3 linked regions of the Diceros bicornis minor genome follow. The protein of the gene in region 1 purifies or fractionates together with the protein of each later gene. This does not show direct contact. Links are inferred from orthologs where the notes say so. Each region holds a gene or a part of one and is shown in the gene's direction. Other genes may lie near its edges. The genes, in order: KPNA1, NCBP1 and MAU2.

Region 1 (5,874 bases):
AGAAATACAACATGTGTATAATTACTATATATTATTATTTTCACACCCATCAGACTGGCAAAAATAAAAAAAGTCAAATATTTCCAAACGTTTGCAAGGATGTTTAGAAAACAGAATCTTATACGTTGCTTGTGGAGTATAAACTGATACACTATTTCGCTTTGTCATATAACTCAGCAATATCTAGTATATTAGTTTTCTAATGCTATGTAAAAAATTACCAGAAACCTTGTGGCTTAAAACACATTTATTATCTCACAATTTCTGTGGGCCAGGAGTCCAGGCACAGCTTATCTGGTTTCTCTGCTCAGGGTCTCATAAAGCTGCAACCAAGGTATAAGTCAGTCTGTTTTCACACCTGGAGGCTTGACTGGGGAAGAGTCGGCTTCCAAGCTCTCTCAGGTTGTTGGCAGAACTCATTTCCTCGCAGTTGTAGGACTGAGGGGCCTGGCTTCTTACTGGCTGTCAGCTGGAGGCTGCACTCGGGTCCTAGAAGCCATCTGCAGTTCCCTGCCATGTGGCCCTCTCCATAGGCAGTTCACAACATGACGGTTCACTTCTTCAAGGCCAGCAGGAGAGTGTCTAGCTCTGGTCTGCTAAGATAGAGACATAAAGGGAAATGTAATAAAAGGAGTGACACCCCATCGTCTTTGCCATATTTTATTGACTCCAGAGGTAGGCATTATACAGGGCAACACCAGGGGCCAAAGATCATGGGGGCGATCTCAGAATTCTGCCTACCACATCTAGTAAAATTAAAGATGCAATGTCCTAGGATCTAGCAGTTTCCTTATACACATGAAGATACGTACAAGAATGTTCATAGCAGCATTGCTTGTAACAGAAAAACTATTGTTCTATAATTTTTAAATTTTTCAAAATACAAAAAGATATAGTCAGAGAGACATTAGCTAATAAAACACGATGTGTGGTATAACACTTTTGTCAAAGTAACATGTATATAGGAATTCTTCTCCAGCAACTGTTGTTGTCTTGAACAAATCCTACCGCCACTGAGAACAACTGGACAAAATATAAAAAACATTAAGGCATTAACGAGCTACCATGGCAGTGAGAACTTGTGGGTCCAAGATCTGGAAGAAAAGGGAAGCCATGAGAGGCGAGCCTGATGGTTGCCATCACTTTTCCACCGGAGGTGATTGCTAATTCTGAAAGCAGTGGCTGAAAAACCGAGGTCTCAGGATGTTGAGGAGGCCCAGCCATAGAGGAGAGGCCCTAGTAAATACTCCACACTTTTGGTTGGGACTCTCAAGGCCTACCCTCGCTAGGACTAAGGGTGAACTGGAAATAAACTAGCTTTCACAAAGACTTAAACTCTGAAGAAAGAGAGTCCAACTCTGAGTAATTTTAGCTTCTGATTGGGATAAAGTGATCTGTCCTCAATTTAGCTGTGGTCAGGCATACTTGCTCCTAAGTCCCCGCCTTAGAACACCTTCCCTTTCTCCAGCCCCTTTGCTCAAACTCACCTCTCACCCTAGTCAACACAACATCAGTGGGGAATACTGATGGAGCCGAAAGAGCTCCAGGACAAATGAACATGGCATAGCCCAGGATTCCGCTAGCGTGGTCCTCTCTCCCGCATTTATAAATGTATTACTCGACCTCCTCTCTTTCGCCTTGCTTCCTGGTGGGTGTTTTAAATCAATCTGATATCCCATGTCACTCGTGAGACTTTCTATTCCCCGACCTTTGCTTGGCTGGCTTCGGTCTTTCTTCTTTTGAAGCCACTGCTCAAAAAGAAATTCCCCAAAAAGAATTTTTTCAAACTTAGCAGTAACAATGATTTGCCCCAAGTCTTCGTTTGAGAGCATTTAGTGAGAGTTAAAGCAAGTATTTGCGTTTCACTTAATTTCTTAGTGATTTCTGATGCTCCTCATACATTATCAGGCAAAGGGGATGGGAGAGAACTAAAAGAAGGAATACCCAGAAGCTTCCTCAAACGTGCTGCATGTGAATGCCTTAGACATGAGGCGCCGACTTTTAAGACGTTTGTAATACTCCCTCAGCCTTCCTTCGTTTCACCATTCATTCAGCAAACGTGGCTTAAATATCAACCAAGTTAGAGGCTAGCTATAGATAGAGGCGAGAGAAGATCCGTCGGCCCTGGAAGAGCTTCGAAGACAGGTTTGTAGACATAACTTTGCAATTTAACCTAAGAAGTACCGTTTCACTGTCACTCCACCACGATTCTCCGACCTCGGCCATTGACTGCGAACCTCCTCCTCAGCGGGACCTGCTCCCTGACCTCCGACTCCGCACAGACTCGAGGCTAACCTCAAGGCTTCTAGAGGACGACGGTTGGGAGACTACGCCTCCCGGCAGCCTCTGCAGCAGGGTGGTGGAGGGGCGCGCGCAGGCGCCTGGGCCGGTCCCCGCGCGCAGGCGCCCTGCGAACGCCGGCTGAGCTGGGTCTGGCTGCTGGGTGCGCGGCGGCGAGAGTGAGGCCTGGAGAGCACCGCCGCGGCGCGGGTCGGCTCTTCGAGGTTGTGCGCGGGAGGGGTACGGCGGGCAGACGAGCGAGCAAGCGGCTCCCCCCAGCAGAGGCACCGGGATCGGTTGCCTTGACCCTGGTGAGTGCGGGGGCCCCGCGGCCCGGCCCCTCCCCCTCCCTCCGGCGGCTCGGTAGTCCTCGGCGGGACCCGGGAGAGGCCCCGGGGCAAGGGCGGGCGCCGGGGGCGCTCCAGCTCGGGTACCTGGGCCGGGGCGCCCACGGCGCGTCCGTGCGTCACGGGCCCAGCTGTCCTAACGGCCGCGCGGCCAGCGGAGGGGAAGGTGGGGGCGGGGAGCGCCTGTGCGAGGGCCATAGCGAGCGCCGGTCGAGGCGGGGCGGGGCGGCGGCGGGGTTGGACGCGGCGCCGGGGACTGCGGGGCGCCGAGGCAGCGGGGCGGAGAGGAGGCGAGCGCGGAGCCTGCGCCGCGGCCCGGCGCGAGCGGGCGGGGGTGGGCAGCGCGGAGCGCCGTGACTGGGGCAGGGAAGAGCAGGGGGGGCGTGTAAGAATCCTGACCGAGGCGGGAAGGGACCACCTTGGGAATTCACAAGTTGCGGCCCGAGTCCGAGCCGGGGGCTGGGGGGGGCGGGGTGGAGACGGACGACTGCAGTTTACAGATGTCATAACAACATGGGCCCGAAGCGGCTGACGGGGTGTGGTAATTATAGGAATGACAGAACTTCGTCTGCACACAGCGTGTGTAAGTGGTGATGCGAGGGGAACAGCGAAGTATTAGATGAAGCTCAAAATGGGAGGAGAAAACTGGAGGATGACTGGAGTCCGGGAGGTCGGCACGAAGGAGTGTTTTAGGTTTGAATGGGAGTGTTTAATGTTCCACGTTTAAGTGAAAGATTTCAAAATAATTGATTTTCAAGGTTTACATTCAGAATAAGCAATTTTGAAGTGTTTTTTCTAAAACATGCTATTAAATAATATTACTGACTTTTTCAGTATTTTTTTTCCTTTAATAAACAGTTTCTTCACAACTCCTATTTCTTAGCAGTAGATGAGTAAGTGGTTTTTTTCCCCGCTCTTGTTTCAACGCTGACTCTTGACGTTGTTTTTTCCTTAACTTGTTCTTGTATTTGTAATATTTTGAAAGTAATCCACGTTATTCCCCCTTCATTTTAAAGATTGAAGAGATGAAAGTGATTATGAAATCGATTATATTTTTACTGAAATAATTTATTCTTGAAAGGCACTGTTTTATGTGTAATGTGTGATTTTAAGATGGAGGACGTGAGAGAAAGTAAACGAATTAACATTTATTGAGCTCCTTTCCAGGTATTGTGCTCAATACTTGACGTATATTAAAACATTTAATGCTGACAGTAACTCGGAAGTAGATGTTAATTTTTCCTGTTCTACAGATGAAAACTTTCAAGGTCAGAGAAGTAACTTACCTGAGGTCATCCAGCCCTTGTTGGAACCAGCCTTCGAACCCAAAGTCACTGCCATTCTAAGAATGATTTCTCCTCTCCTTTTATATTTCTTGATGGTGTTTTCTTTCTTTAATCCACTCGTTCAATGAACAATTATGGAGTGATCATGTGCCCTGAGACTGGGGATATGGACGTGATCAAGACACTGTTCCTGTCCTCATGGAATTTATAGTGTAGGGGGAGACTAACAAAGAAAATAAATATTGACTGCATGACATTTTATCAGTCATTATGTTTGTTTATTGAGCAGAAACTATAAAGTACTAAGTAGCAAAGGAAGTTAAAATGGAATCAGACAACATAAGCCTTGAGGAGTTTACAATCTAGTAGGGAAACAAAACATACATTTATAAAAAGCTAGAATAAACTAAATGACCGACATAAATGCCTCACCTGAAGTCACTGTACTGCATTATGTTACTTTAGGTCCTCACAGAAGTTTCTCCACAGAACTAGGATTTAATATTGCACCTTGACTTTTTTTTAATTTTTATTTTTTGTTTATTGCAGTAACATTGGTTTATAACATTGTATAAATTTCAGGTGTACATCATTATACTTATATTTCTGCATAGATTACATCATGTTCACCACCCAAATACTAATTACAACCCATCACCACACACATGTGCCAAATTATCCCTTTCGCCCTCCTCCCTCCCCCCTTCCCCTCTGGTAACCACCAATCCAATCTCTGTCTCTATGTTTGTTTATTGTTGTTATTAGCTACTACTTAATGAGGGAGATCATATGGTATTGGACCTTCTCCCTCTGACTTATTTCACTTTGCATAATACCCTCAATGTGCATCCATGTTGTCACAAATGGCTGGATTTCATCGTTTCTTATGGCTGAGTAGTATTCCATTGTGTATATATACCACATCTTCCTTATCCATTCGTCCCTTGATGGGCACTTAGGTTGCTTCCAAGTCTTGGCTACTGTGAATAACGCGGCAGTGAACACAGGGGTGCATGTATCTTTACGCATTGGTGTTTTCAAGTTCTTTGGATAAATACCCAGCAGTGGAATAGCTGGATCATATGGTAGTTCTATCCTTAATTTTTTGAGGAATCTCCATACTGTTTTCCATAGTGGCTGCACCAGTTTGCACTCCCACCAGCAGTGTATGAGTTCCCTTCTCTCCACATCCTCTCCAACACTTGTTGTTTCCTGTCTTGTTAATTATAGCCATTCTGACAGGCATGAGGTGATATCTCATTGTAGTTTTGATTGGCATTTCTCTGATAGTTAACGATGTTGAGCATCTTTTCATGTGCCTGTTGGCCATTGCACCTTGACTTTTATCTAGGATTGGTACATAGGAAAAGGCAACATGAAAAAAAATCTTCATTGCTACCCAAGACACTGTTTCTTATTTATCGATTCTTAATAAAGTAGAGACTCTAGAGACAGATTCTTTTTAAGACCCCATGATAGCCTTTTTCTTTTTTTTTTAAACAAATGACTGCTTTTATTAGATCTTTTGTGTTTTGTAAGCTATCTTGTTTCTCTTTACACTTTGGCTGACAGGAGGCTCAGAGCTGTGTCCAATTTTTGTAATTTTCCTTAGCCTCACCTATGTTATAAATTATACCAGGTAGTCTGGGATTGCTCTCAGTTGTTTCCTGGACTATTTTCTTTGTTCTCTGTTGCTCTTGATGTTGTTTTTACCTTTTCCCTTTCATTTGAGAGTAGAGATTATATCTTATTCTTTTTATCTCCAGTGTTTTAGCATAGTGTTTGTTGAGTTAATGATAAAGTCTTGATTTATGATGTTTGTGTGCTTAAGCCTGTCAGATTGTTTTTAGAAGTATATGTGAATACTTTGTATAAAATTAATTAAGACTTTTGGCCATGTAAATAAAGATGACTGTCCTAGTGATAGAGATAATTCCCTATTGCTCTCTTTGTTTTAAGAT
Region 2 (5,874 bases), on another chromosome or scaffold:
GCCCAAGCACTATCATTTCTTGGCTGAGTTATTGCAGTAGCCTAACTGCCCTCCTCCTCTAAGAGCAAGAGAGGTAACTCTTAAAAAGTAAGTCAGATCACCCTCCAGAGGCTTCTCAACTTAAAGTCCAAGGTCCTTACAGAGCCCCTCCCGCACCTCTCTAATCTCATCTTCTACTCCTCTCCCTTGGCTCACACCTCTGATTGCACCGTGTCCCCATTCCTCAACGGGTCACCAGCACCAGGAAAGCAAGGATTTTCTTTGTTCACCTCTGCATCCTCAGCATCTAGAACACTGCCTGGCACATAGGAGGTGCTAAATGTTAATAAATACGATATTTGTTGAATGAAATAAAACAGTGATTGCGTAGCCAGGGAAGGCTTCACGAAGGACCTGACGTTTGAGCTGAGACCTAAATGTCAAGGAGGCATCCTACGCAGATTTAGGAGCAGAGATCTTTAGGCAAAGGAAACAGTATAAATTCCTAAAGTGGGAATTTTAAGCTTGACTCATTGGAAGAACAAGAAGAGTGGCTGGAGTATACTGATGACAGAGCAGAACCCTGTAAGTCAGGGTATGGCGTTTGCCATGGAAAGTCATCCGAGAGTTGTAAACAGAGGAGTAACGTGGTCTGACTCTGGATTTGTTTTGAAAGCAGAACCGGCAGGGTTTACAGATACACTGTTATGTAGGAAACGAAGGAAAAGGAGGACCCAAGAATGACTCCTACCTACACTTTGAACTAAGCAATCGGATAGATGGTGCCATTTACTGAAATGGGTAAGACTGAAGGAGGCACACTTAGGCCAGGAGAGCGACACAAGAGTTCCATGTTAGACCTGCGACATCTCAGACAGATAAGCAGGTGTGCTGCTCCTCGGAGACGTCGGGGCAGGGGGTGCTCACATACACGTACGCAGGTACCCAATAACCACTGCAAACATTACTAAAACAGCCACCTGTTCCTTCCTAGACAACAACCCGGAGGGGACGCGGAGCAGCGGGCTCACGCCGGGGCGGGTCTTGCCGTCCCAGGGGCGGCTCGTGCGGCGCCGCCTCCCGAGCAGGCCCCACCCCGCGCGCCGGGCGGACCCAAGCTCTCCGCGCCGCTTTCCCGAGGAGGCAAAGGCCCGGAAGTGGGAGGAAGAGGAGCACGTACCCGCCGGGCCTGATCCTCTCTTATATCTTTCTTCACTGAACCGTCTCCACCTAGCAATTGTCGCCGCTCACCGCCCTGGAACCCCGGCCCCCGCCTGGTCTTTACGAAGGAAGGGACGCTCCGACGTCACCTCGCTCCGGAAGTCCTCGAGGACGTTGGCGAAAGGGCCGCTGGGAAAGGCACTGCGAGGCCCCAAGGAGAGTCTGAGGTTGAGGCGGGGCCTGGAGCGTCCCTCCTAGACCAGCCGCCTCCAGGCGTGGCTCGTGGCCAGCGGGCTCTGGCACCGGAAGGACTTAGAGCGAAAGGCGGGAGAAGGAGGCAGCCGAGAGGCGGAGGAAGCCCGAGGGGGCGGTTGCGTGCGGGTCCCAGACGCACGCGGCCTGGTGAGCTCTCAGACGCCGGCCCTCCGCGATCCGAGCCCGCTGAGCCCACCCAGCCGCCTCTCCTCCTTGCGCTTCCGGGGGCCGTCGCGAGCTAGTGCGCCTGCGCGCCGGCCACTCCGCGCTCCGCGCCGCTGTCTTCGCGCCGGCCGGCGGCCCAACGCTTCCTGCCGCGCTTCCCCCCCGGCGTCTCGGCTCGGCAGCGCACCGGCGTGCGGCATGTCGCGGCGGCGGCACAGCGACGAGAACGACGGTGAGTGTCCGGCCCGGCCGCCGAGGCCGCGCCCGGGGGGGCCCGGGTTGGGCTTCCTGGGTCTTCGGGTCTCAGCGAAGGGACGGGAAGCCCTTCGCCCCGGGAGCGTTCGGGGAGCCACAGAGGGAAGGAGGGTGGCACAGCGAGTGTGGCCGGGCGACCCCCGGAAAGCCCCTGCTTCCCCCGCCCCAGCTCCTTTAGCCGTCGGCGGAAAGGAGGCCTGGTGGCCCCCTGGTCTCTAAGGACTTCAGGATTTGGTCCTTAGCATCGCCGAGAGGGGAGGTATACCTGTGTCTGTGCGGCCGCCTCTCAGGGACAGTGACAGGAACCCGCTAGTCCCGGTGTCTCCTTTTGACCCTCAAACTGCCCCTGAAGAGGGTTCTCGGAAGAGTCCTGAAGGAAAGGGACAAAGCCGGGACTGAGAGATCTGAAGAATCACAGCCTGAGGTTTGCCCCTGTCTCGGTCATTTGCCTCCTTTCAAGCTGCAGGGAAAGAAATCTGTCTCTTACCCACACCCAAGAGGTCACTCACTAATAAACAGATGCATGTTGTTAGGTTTGGAACTGGCCATAAGCGTATTTCCCTCGTGTAAGAAAGAGTGCTGGAAAACTAACTGGAGAGCTCTTAGAGATTTAGCTCACGGGTTCCCATCTCCATTTGGAGGGTTGATCTCATGTCCCCATGATGTTGTCGTCATAAAAACGAAGAATAATTTTGCTAGTTAAAAATTGAAAAAGATACTTAAATTACAAAAATCGGTCAGGAATACACACCCACCAAAAAAAAAAAAAGAAGAAGAAACTAAGAGTAATTCTGTTATTAATGTTTTAGTGTATTGTTCTTTGAAAAGAGTGTACTGTAGTGGTTAAAAGGCCAGACTTTGGAATCAGAGGGTTTAAGTTCAAAGCTAGACCCCACCATTTACTTTGTGATCTTGCCTGGGTTATACCACCTTTTAAACCTTAGTGTGTAATAATGTTTATCATCTGTTAATGCTTAAGATGTGGTAAACATTGGCAGATGTCAGTGATGTAAGAAAAAATATGGAGTAAAAATTTTTAGTTGAATTAATTCTCTGCACTAACATTTTTGTCTCCTTGAATATTGGGGCAGTTGAGGGTAGGGGCAGAATCACGTGTATTTAGTTTTAACAATGAAACATCAGATTTCTGCTGGAGTGTGGTTTGATAGGATATTCTAGTCCAGCCTTCTCATCTGACACCTAAAGTTTTGGAGTGTTAGTGTATGGGCTAAACATACATAGTGTATGCGCCAAGGCCTACAGTGGAGATGTTGCACGTTCAGTTCCAGACCACCGCGGTAAAGCAAGTCACACAAACTTTTTGGTTTCCCAGTGCATGTAAAAGTTATATTTACACTATACTGTAGTTTATTAAGTGTGCAGTAGCATTGTATCCAAAGAAACACAATGTACATACCTTAATTAAAAAATAATTTATTGCTAAAAAATGCTAACCATCATCTGAGCCTTCAGCGAGTCATCATCTTTTTGCTGGTGGAGGGTCTTGCCTTGATGTTGGTGGCTGCTGTCTGATTAGGGTGATGGTTGCTCGAGGTTGGAGTGGCTGTGGCAACTGCTTAAAATAAGACAACAGTGAAGTTTGCCACATCAGTTGACTCTTCCTTTCATGAATGATTTCTCTGTAGCATATGATGCTATTTGATAGCATTTTACCCACAGCAGAACTTCTTTCAAAATTGGAGTCAATCCTCTCAAACCCTGCTTTATCACCTGTTGATGTAATGTTCTAAATCTTTTGCTGTCATTTCAACAGTCTTCACAGCATCTTCACCAGGAGTAGATTCCATCTCAAGAAACCACTTTTTTTGCTTATCTATAAGAAGCAACTCTTCATCTGTTCAAGTTTTATCATGAGATTGCAGCAATTCAGTCACATCTTCAGGCTCCACTTCTAATTCTAGTCCTCGTGTTATTTCCACCATATCTGCAGTTACTTCCTCCAGTTAAGCCTTTAACTCCTCAAAGTCATCCATGAGGGTTGGAATCAACTTCTTCCAAACTCCTGTTAACGTTGGTATTTTGACTTCTTCCCACGAATCACAAATGTTCTTAATGGCATCTAGAATGGTGAATCCTTTCCAGAGATTTTCAGTTTACTTTGCCCTGATCCATCCAGGAATCACTATTTATCACAGCTGTAGCTGTATGAAATATATTTCTTAAATAATAAGACTTGACAGTTGAAATTATTCCTTGATGCAGGGGCTGCAGAATGGATGCTGTGTTAGCAGGCATGAAAACAGCATTAATCGTGTTGTACATCTCCATCAGCACACTTGGGTGACCAGGTGCATTGTCAGTGAGCAATAATATTTGGAAAAGAATCTTCTTTTCTGAGTAGTACGTCAACGTTGGTCTTAAAATGTTCACTAAACCATGCTGTAAACAGATTTGCTGTCATCCTGACTTTGTTGTTCCGTTTATAGAGCACAGGCAGGGTAGATTTAGCATAATTCTTAAGAGCCCTGACTTTTGGAATGGTAAATGAGCATTGGTTTCAACTTAAAGTTACCAGCTACATTAGCCCCTATCAAGAGCATCAGCCTCTCTCTCTTTTTTTTTTTTTGGTGAGGAAGATTAGCCCTGAGCTAACATCCATTGCCAATCCTCCTCTTTTTGCTGAGGAAGGTTGGCCCTGTGCTAACATCTGTGCCCATCTTCCTCTACTTTATATGTGGGATGCCTGCCACAGCATGGCTTGACAAGTGGTGCATAGGTCTGCATCTGGGACCCGAACCTGCAAACATTGGGCTGCCGAAGCAGAGCATGCGAACTTAACCACTGTGCCACTGGGCTGGCCCCTCAGCCTCTCCTTTGAAGCCTTGAAGCCAGGCATTGACTTCTCTCTAGCTACAAAAGTCCTAGATGGCATCTTCTTCCAACATAAGGCTGTTTCATTTACATTGAAAATCCGCTGTTTAGTGTAGCCACCTTCATTAATCATCTTAGCTAGATCTTCTGGATGACTTGCTGCAGCTTCTACATCAGCACTTGCTGCTTCACCTTGCATTTTTATGTTATGGAGGTGGTTTCTTTCCTAAACCTCATGAACCAACCTCTGCTAGCTTCACACTTCTGCAGCTTCCTGACCTCTCTCAGGCTTCCTAGAATTGAAGAGAGTTAGGTCCTTGTCTGGATTAGATTTTGGCTTAAGGGAACTTGGTGGCTGGTTTGATCTTCTATCCAGACCACTAAAACTTCCTCCATATCAGCAGTAAGCCTGTTATGCTTTCTTATCATTCGTGTGTTCACTGGAGTAGCACTTGTAATTTCCTTCAAGAACTTTTCCTCTGCATTCACAACTTGGGTAATGATTTGGCACAAGAGTCCTAGCTTTCAGCCTATCTCGGCTTTTGACATGCCTTCCTCACTAAGCTTAATCATTTCTAGCTTTTGATTTAAAGTAAGAGACATACGAGTCTTCCTTTCACTTGAATACTTAGAGGCCATAGTAGGGTTATTAATTCGCCTAATTTCAATATTGTGTCTCAGAGAATAGGGAGGCCTGAGGAGAGGAAGAGAGACGGAGAATGGCCTGTTGGTGGAGCAGTCGGAACACACACAGCATTTATCGATTAAGTTTGCCATCTTATGTGGGCACGGTTTGTGGCGCCCCAAAACTATAATAGTAACGTCAAAGATCGCCGATCACAGATTGTCATAACAAATATGATAATAATGAAACAGTTTGAAATATTTGCAAGAATTACCAAAATGTGGCGCAGAGACGCAAAGTGAGCAAATGCTGTTGGAAGAATGGCACCAAGAGACTTACTTGATTTGATTGCCACAAACCTGCAATTGTAAAAAGCCACAAACCTTCAATTGTAAAAAATTTGTAAAATTAAAAAAAGTACAGTATCTGCGAAGCACGACAAAGTGAAGCCCAGTAAAACGAGGTGTGGCTGTAATTGACATGAAGACACGGCTAGCGGTGCCCAGAAACCGGGGAAAGTGAGTCCGCGGTTGAGGGTGGAGGGGGAGGTTTTCTTCACTGTACAGGTATTACTATGCTGCATGCTTTGATTTTTTTTTTTT
Region 3 (5,874 bases), on another chromosome or scaffold:
GGCTTGAGGGCTGGCCATCTGATTCTGCTTGGCTTTCTGCTCCATTTTGGCTTCAATTTCCCGTTTCTTCTGAGCAATGAGCTCTTCCTGATGAAGGATGTTCATGTTCATTTTTCCAGACTTGGGAGGAGCAACCCCAAACCACCGGTTAGCCTTTCCTGGGGAGGGAAAAGAAGCACATCAGAAATCACCTTCGCTCCACAAACATGCACAGCAGCAGCTACAGGAGCAGGCCAGTTGCTGCCTTGCAGCATCTCATATTCAGATTGACATTCATACATCCATTCATTTATTCAGCAAACATTTACCAAACTATGTACCAGGTGCTGTACTAGGTGCCAAACGAGAGAGACGGGGCCTCTGCCCATGTGGGACTCACCTCTAGCTGGGGAGACAATAGACTCATAACAAAAAAGTAGCTGCAAAATCATGATAAGAGCTCTCTGCTGAAAACCAAAAGGGGTGAGAAAGAATAGCAGCAGAGCGCCTATACAGCTAGGGCAGCCAGAAAATAACCATTAGAAGTGGGGACCTTTAAGCTAAAACCAGAAAGACAAAGAGCCAGCCTCCTGAAAAGCCAGATGGGGCACGATCTGGGCAAAGTAAGGAGCAAATGCAAAAACCCAAGGCTAGAAGAAGCCTGGAGCACCCAAGGACCAGCAAGGGTCCAGTGTGGCCAGAGTGGTCCACTCCAGGGATGCGCATGGCAGGGCACAATAGGGAGTCTGGGCTCTACTTTAAGAGCTTTAGGAGGCAACGGGGAAGTATTAAGCTAACAAGATCCAACTGGTATTTTTATTTTTAAGATTATTCTGGGTACTGATTGGAGAGAGTGCATAGGCAGCAAGGAGGCCAATGAGGAGGCTTGCTGGCTCCAAGCAAAAGACAATGTTGTCTTCAGACAAGGATGGTAGCTGTGGAGTTGAAGAAGACATCTTGAAGGTTCCCAGTGGCAATTCGAATAAAATCAAAATTCTGAAAGTTGCTTGTCAAGGCCCTTCCAGGGATGGTTCCCCTCCCCACTTCCATTTCATCCTTGACATTCTTCAAAATGACAAGCCCATCCCACCCCAAGGCATTTGCACTTGCTGTCCCTCCCTCTGCGTAGAAGGCTCTACCCTCCAGGCCTTCCCATAGCTGGCAAGTTCTCATCTCAAACGTCTTCTGCTCAAAGAGGCCTTCCTTGACCACCCAGTATCAGCAGACTCCACCCCCACTCTTTCAGATCATTAAAACCCTCTCTCTGTAAATATTTCCTCTTTGGTGCATTATGTGACACCCTAGCAGAAAATAACCTTTTCTACTAAACAGGGCACTGTTTTGGTTACCACTGCATCCCCAGCGCCTAGCACAGTGCCTGGCACACAGTGAGTATTTGCTGAATGCGTGAATGCATCCCAGCCTAGCGGGGCTAGGGCTGGGAGACAGGGAATGGCAAGCCTTGTAGTGAAGGAGGGGCTCGAAAGACCCAGGCAGATGCGTACAAGAAGTCCGAGAGCATTTCGGAAAAGCAGCTTTTCTAGAAAGCGGGACACTGGCCAGACGGCACCTGCTACAGAGAGGGGCGCGGGACAGCCCAAGGTTGCCGCTGTTTCGGGGAGCGGAGCTCAGGGCAGCCCTCAAGGCGGTTATTTCGGAAAGCGGGCGCAGGGAAGAGCCAGGTGGCGGCCTTTAGAGAGACCCGGGCGCCCTCAACACACCAGGCGGGGACAAGGGCAGCAACTGGGGTCTGGGGTCTCGGGAGACGGGGGAGGTGCAGAAGCCATCGCTTCGGGTCGCCCAAAGGCTTAGGCGAGGGGCCGGCGGGTTAGGGCAGGCCCGACAGGAGGGCAAAGCGGCGACACGGAGCCCAGAAGCCCCAAGCCAGCGCTTGAAGGGAGGTGTGGGCTATTACCTGCAACATCCCGGTTGTCCATCTTGAGACTCATCCAATCCCACAATCCTCCGGCGCCACCTGCGGTGGGAGGAAGGGCCAGTTATACTGCGCATGGCTTGATGGGAGATGTAGTCCGCGCCGGCCAGCCACGCCCCGCCACTGCATGGACACCTGGGGTCTTCCCCCCAGGAACGCAAACCTTGGCCAATCGGCAATGTCTAGTCTCAGTCCCGCAGACTAGAGGCCGTCGCCTTTTCTCATACCTTCCCGGAGCCGCGGCCCTCCAAAAACAAACTACATGTTCCGGGATGCTCTGTGCAACAGCTCTCGCGAGAGACGCGGGGTGCGCCCGGCCCCGCCCCGCGTGCCTGCTTCCGCCTCCCTGCGGCGGCGGCTTGTTGTTGTGGAGGCCAAAATGGCGGCGCAGGCGGCAGCTGCGGCTCAGGCGGCGGCGGCGGCGGCGGCGGCGGCTCAGGCAGCGCAGGCCGAGGCGGCCGAATCGTGGTACCTGGCGCTTCTGGGCTTCGCCGAGCACTTCCGCACTTCCAGCCCGCCCAAGATCCGCCTGTGCGTGCACTGCCTGCAGGCCGTGTTCCCCTTCAAGCCGCCGCAGCGCATCGAGGCCCGCACGCACCTGCAGCTCGGTTCCGTGCTTTACCACCACACCAAGAACAGCGAGCAGGCGCGCAGCCACTTGGAGAAAGCGGTGAGCGCGGGCCGGGCCGCGAGGAACGAGGCGGCGCGGGCTCCTTGTGGGGCCGCCTGTGTTCACGGGCTGCGACCCCCGGCGGGCGGGGGCGCCCAGGCCGGTCCTCGGGGACCCGGGGCGCGACCTCTGCGCGGACAGCGGGACGCGAAGCCGCCTGCCTCTCAGGGAATCCGAGCGCCTTGTCTCGCATCTTAGTTAACGTGTTTGGTGACAGGCAGAGCCCCGCCCAGGTTGCTCCGCGAGTTGCCTCTTCTCAGGACCAACAGGCCCAAATTCTTCAGGTTTTCAGGAGGATATCAACAGGAGGATGCCTGTTGGCTCCTGTGGGAACGCCCCAGTTCGGCCAGTGGGTCCTGCAGCTTCCAGCTCCTCAGGGCTCAGCCCTGGGAGCATCAGCCTGAACGCTCTCTCCTGAAGTGACTGGGGATAGGGGAACCATCCTTTGGGAATCTGAAGCTTGGTCTCTCAGGAAACCTAGGAAGGTGTAACCTTCCTGGACCCATAAGTCTCATAAGGGTCTGGAGGGTTTTGTACCGCTATCAGTAATGCGGAGTGTCATAGATGGGAGGCAGAGACCTAGAGTTGGTGATTTGAAGTCCTATAAAGAGGTGGAACTGAGTCGGGGGTTGGGGGGGGGGTCTGGATTCCAGGACCAGTTGCTCAGTAGGGGCTGAAGGAGGCGGGGATCTCACAGCTTCTACTTTCTCTGTATCCACCAGTGACTTCTTTTCCTGCCACCATCCACCAGTCCATCCCCTTCAAGGGGCAGGCCCCATCCCCCCATCTTGACTTGTGGGATCTAAGTATTCCAAGGAAGGTGGGAAAGTGGCTGTTTTTCTGGCTGTGGAGTGGTTTCTTCTCGCAGCAACACTGCACTCCTGGCAGATCACGCCTCCATTTCCCATTTACCTAACTTTAGTCTACTTAAAGGACAGACTTTTTTTTTTTTTCTTTAGATTTTGTGTGTGTGTGTGTGAAAAGGACTAGCCCTGAGCTAACATCCGATGCCAATCCTCCCCTTTTTTCTTGAGGAAGATTGGCCCTGAGCTAACATCCGTGCCCATCTTCCTCTGCTTTTTTTTTAAATTTTTTTTTGTGAGGAAGATCAGCCCTGAGCTAACATCTGATGCCAGTCCTCTTTTTTCTGAGACTGGCCCTGAGCTAACATCTGTGCCCATCTTCCTCTACTTTATATGGGACGCTGCCACAGTATGGCTTAACAAGCGGTGTGTTGGTGCGCGCCCGGGACCCAAACCTGCGAACCCCGGGCTGCCGAAGCGGAGTGCATGCACTTAACTGCTTGCACCACCGGGCCAGCCCCAAGGAGAGACTTCTTGAATAGAATCAACTGAGATTTTTAGTTTATTGTTCTGAGGTGAATCTGAACCTACACATGGCTAGTAACAAGTTGCCCCTGGAAGATATCAAATCTTTGTTTTGTTGAGGGGACTTTAGTCCTTGCTCGATCAACTTCCTTGTTTCAGGAGTGAGGCAGAATGGGCCCAGACAGGTGAAGTGATTTGCCCAAAGCCACACAACGTTATTAACAAAACTGGGCTCAAACCTAGGCTCAGGATCACCAGGTTCCATCCCAAGACAATAAGTCACTATTGTTTTCGTGAAGCTTTTTTCTTTCATTCATTCAGCAGACGTTTATTCAGCTCACACCAGGTGCCAAGCCCTATTCTAGGTGCTCGGGATCAGTGATGACTAAAACAGTCCTCACCCGCTTAAGCTTATGTTTTAGTGAAGGAGACAGACAATGAATATCTAGTAAAAGGTTAGGCTGTGGTATAAGAACCATAAAAAATATGGACCAGGGAGAAGGGATGGAGTTGACAGAGAGGTATTTTTGGCAGAGGTAGTGAGGGAGTCTATTTGTGGGTGTGACGTTTGAGTAGAGGCCTAAATGGGAGGGAGGAGCAAGCCTGGAGAACTGCTCAGGGTGTCAGGTTGATCCCAAGGAGTGCCTGACCTGTCAATGAGCAGTTGGTGTCAGGGTCTCCTGCGGTGGGGGGAGGATATATGGGATGGGGCATGGAATTTAGCCTGTTTCTACCAGTGGTTCACAGTTGCTGTGTCGTTGTCACATTTTGCCTGCTCAGTGCTGTTGAGTGGAAGAAGCCATGCCTCAGATTTCTTCCCTGTAGTTGCTTGGCTTTTGGACCCATGATTTAAATCGTTATCCTTGCAAAGTGCCTTCCCTCGATTTTACAGAACCCTGAAACTTGTGGGGACTTACACAGAGCCACAGGGTCCCCTCCATAGCTCACACTGACATTCCACCAGGAAATCCCTTTCTTTCTGTCTGTTGCATCCCCACCGGGGAATTTGTCCAGATTTCAACTCAAGTGTCGTTCTCTGTGCTGTTTTCCTTCTGCAGTTCTTTGTGATCTCCTTTTGGGTTGCAATGCAAGCATGCTTTCTTTAATCTTCATTCTTTATCAGTTGTGCATCTTTCCCAAATCAGGCAGCTATCAACTTTTATTCTTTCCTTTCCCAGCTCAATAAAGAATCGTAATATGTTCTCCTTTTAGAAATGGTTTGCTAGTTTCTAGCGCTAAAGAGCAAATGGCCAAAGAGATTCCAGTTTCTTTTCAGGGAGCCAACCCAGAGTAACAAAAATTTTATTTGTAAAAAATGACTCTCAAGTATTTTATGACTATTTTCCCCTTGATCCTTCCCCCTGCTGTTCCTTTCCTGAACTAATTTTCTCTAACTTATAAGTGCTATAGGGAAAACTTGTAATTGGCTTCTGAACTCAGTCCTACATTCAACTTCCCTGTTCTTTTCATCGTCTTTTGCTTTCACTCAGGGAGACACTCAGCTCCTTGGTAATCAGTTTTTTATGTATATAAATATAAGGTTAGATTATTTACCCTTTTATCTACTTATGTCGGTTTCTAACTGCCTCCTCAACTGCATTTGTAAGCTTTCTAAAAGGAATGTATAAAATATTTACCCATCTCCTTCATCAATTCTACCTACTTTGAAAAAATCGTCTGTTAAATGTTCCCATCAGAGGCATGGAGGGTGTTTCTCTCTTTCCTCAGCAGCTTTATTGAGGTCACAGCTGTTGATCTCCCAGTGGTACCTGCCTCTGCAGGCCCTCAGAGGCCCTGCTGGCTGCCTCACTCTCTGGGTCTGCTCAGCAGATCCTGTAGCTGTCATGGTGCAGGACAGGACATTTTCCCTGGAAGGCTTCCTTCTTTTATTGTGGTTTTGGCAGTGATGTGGACGTGTTGTCAGAATTCTTGGCTGCTCTGGGACTCCTTGAGTAAATAGTTCA

The links.
Region 2: the proteins of KPNA1 (region 1) and NCBP1 purify together in Homo sapiens (co-immunoprecipitation; 3 studies listed by BioGRID and IntAct, with this or other methods). This does not show direct contact. The link is inferred for Diceros bicornis minor from reciprocal best matches to the Homo sapiens genes KPNA1 and NCBP1.
Region 3: the proteins of KPNA1 (region 1) and MAU2 purify together in Homo sapiens (affinity purification with mass spectrometry; 3 studies listed by BioGRID and IntAct, with this or other methods). This does not show direct contact. The link is inferred for Diceros bicornis minor from reciprocal best matches to the Homo sapiens genes KPNA1 and MAU2.

Annotation. Positions count from the first base shown.
Region 1 is NC_080754.1:23,341,965-23,347,838, reverse strand, and holds the start of KPNA1 (importin subunit alpha-5), read left to right. Parts: upstream 1-2,441; 5' UTR 2,442-2,591; intron 2,592-5,874. UniProt on the Homo sapiens protein: Functions in nuclear protein import as an adapter protein for nuclear receptor KPNB1. Binds specifically and directly to substrates containing either a simple or bipartite NLS motif.
Region 2 is NC_080767.1:7,925,272-7,931,145, forward strand, and holds the start of NCBP1 (nuclear cap-binding protein subunit 1), read left to right. Parts: upstream 1-1,663; 5' UTR 1,664-1,758; coding exon 1,759-1,792; intron 1,793-5,874. UniProt on the Homo sapiens protein: Component of the cap-binding complex (CBC), which binds cotranscriptionally to the 5'-cap of pre-mRNAs and is involved in various processes such as pre-mRNA splicing, translation regulation, nonsense-mediated mRNA decay, RNA-mediated gene silencing (RNAi) by microRNAs (miRNAs) and mRNA export.
Region 3 is NC_080759.1:6,753,163-6,759,036, forward strand, and holds the start of MAU2 (MAU2 chromatid cohesion factor homolog), read left to right. Parts: upstream 1-2,279; 5' UTR 2,280-2,291; coding exon 2,292-2,582; intron 2,583-5,874. Other genes in the region: SUGP1 (SURP and G-patch domain-containing protein 1), read right to left, coding at 1-158, 1,895-1,928. UniProt on the Homo sapiens protein: Plays an important role in the loading of the cohesin complex on to DNA. Forms a heterodimeric complex (also known as cohesin loading complex) with NIPBL/SCC2 which mediates the loading of the cohesin complex onto chromatin.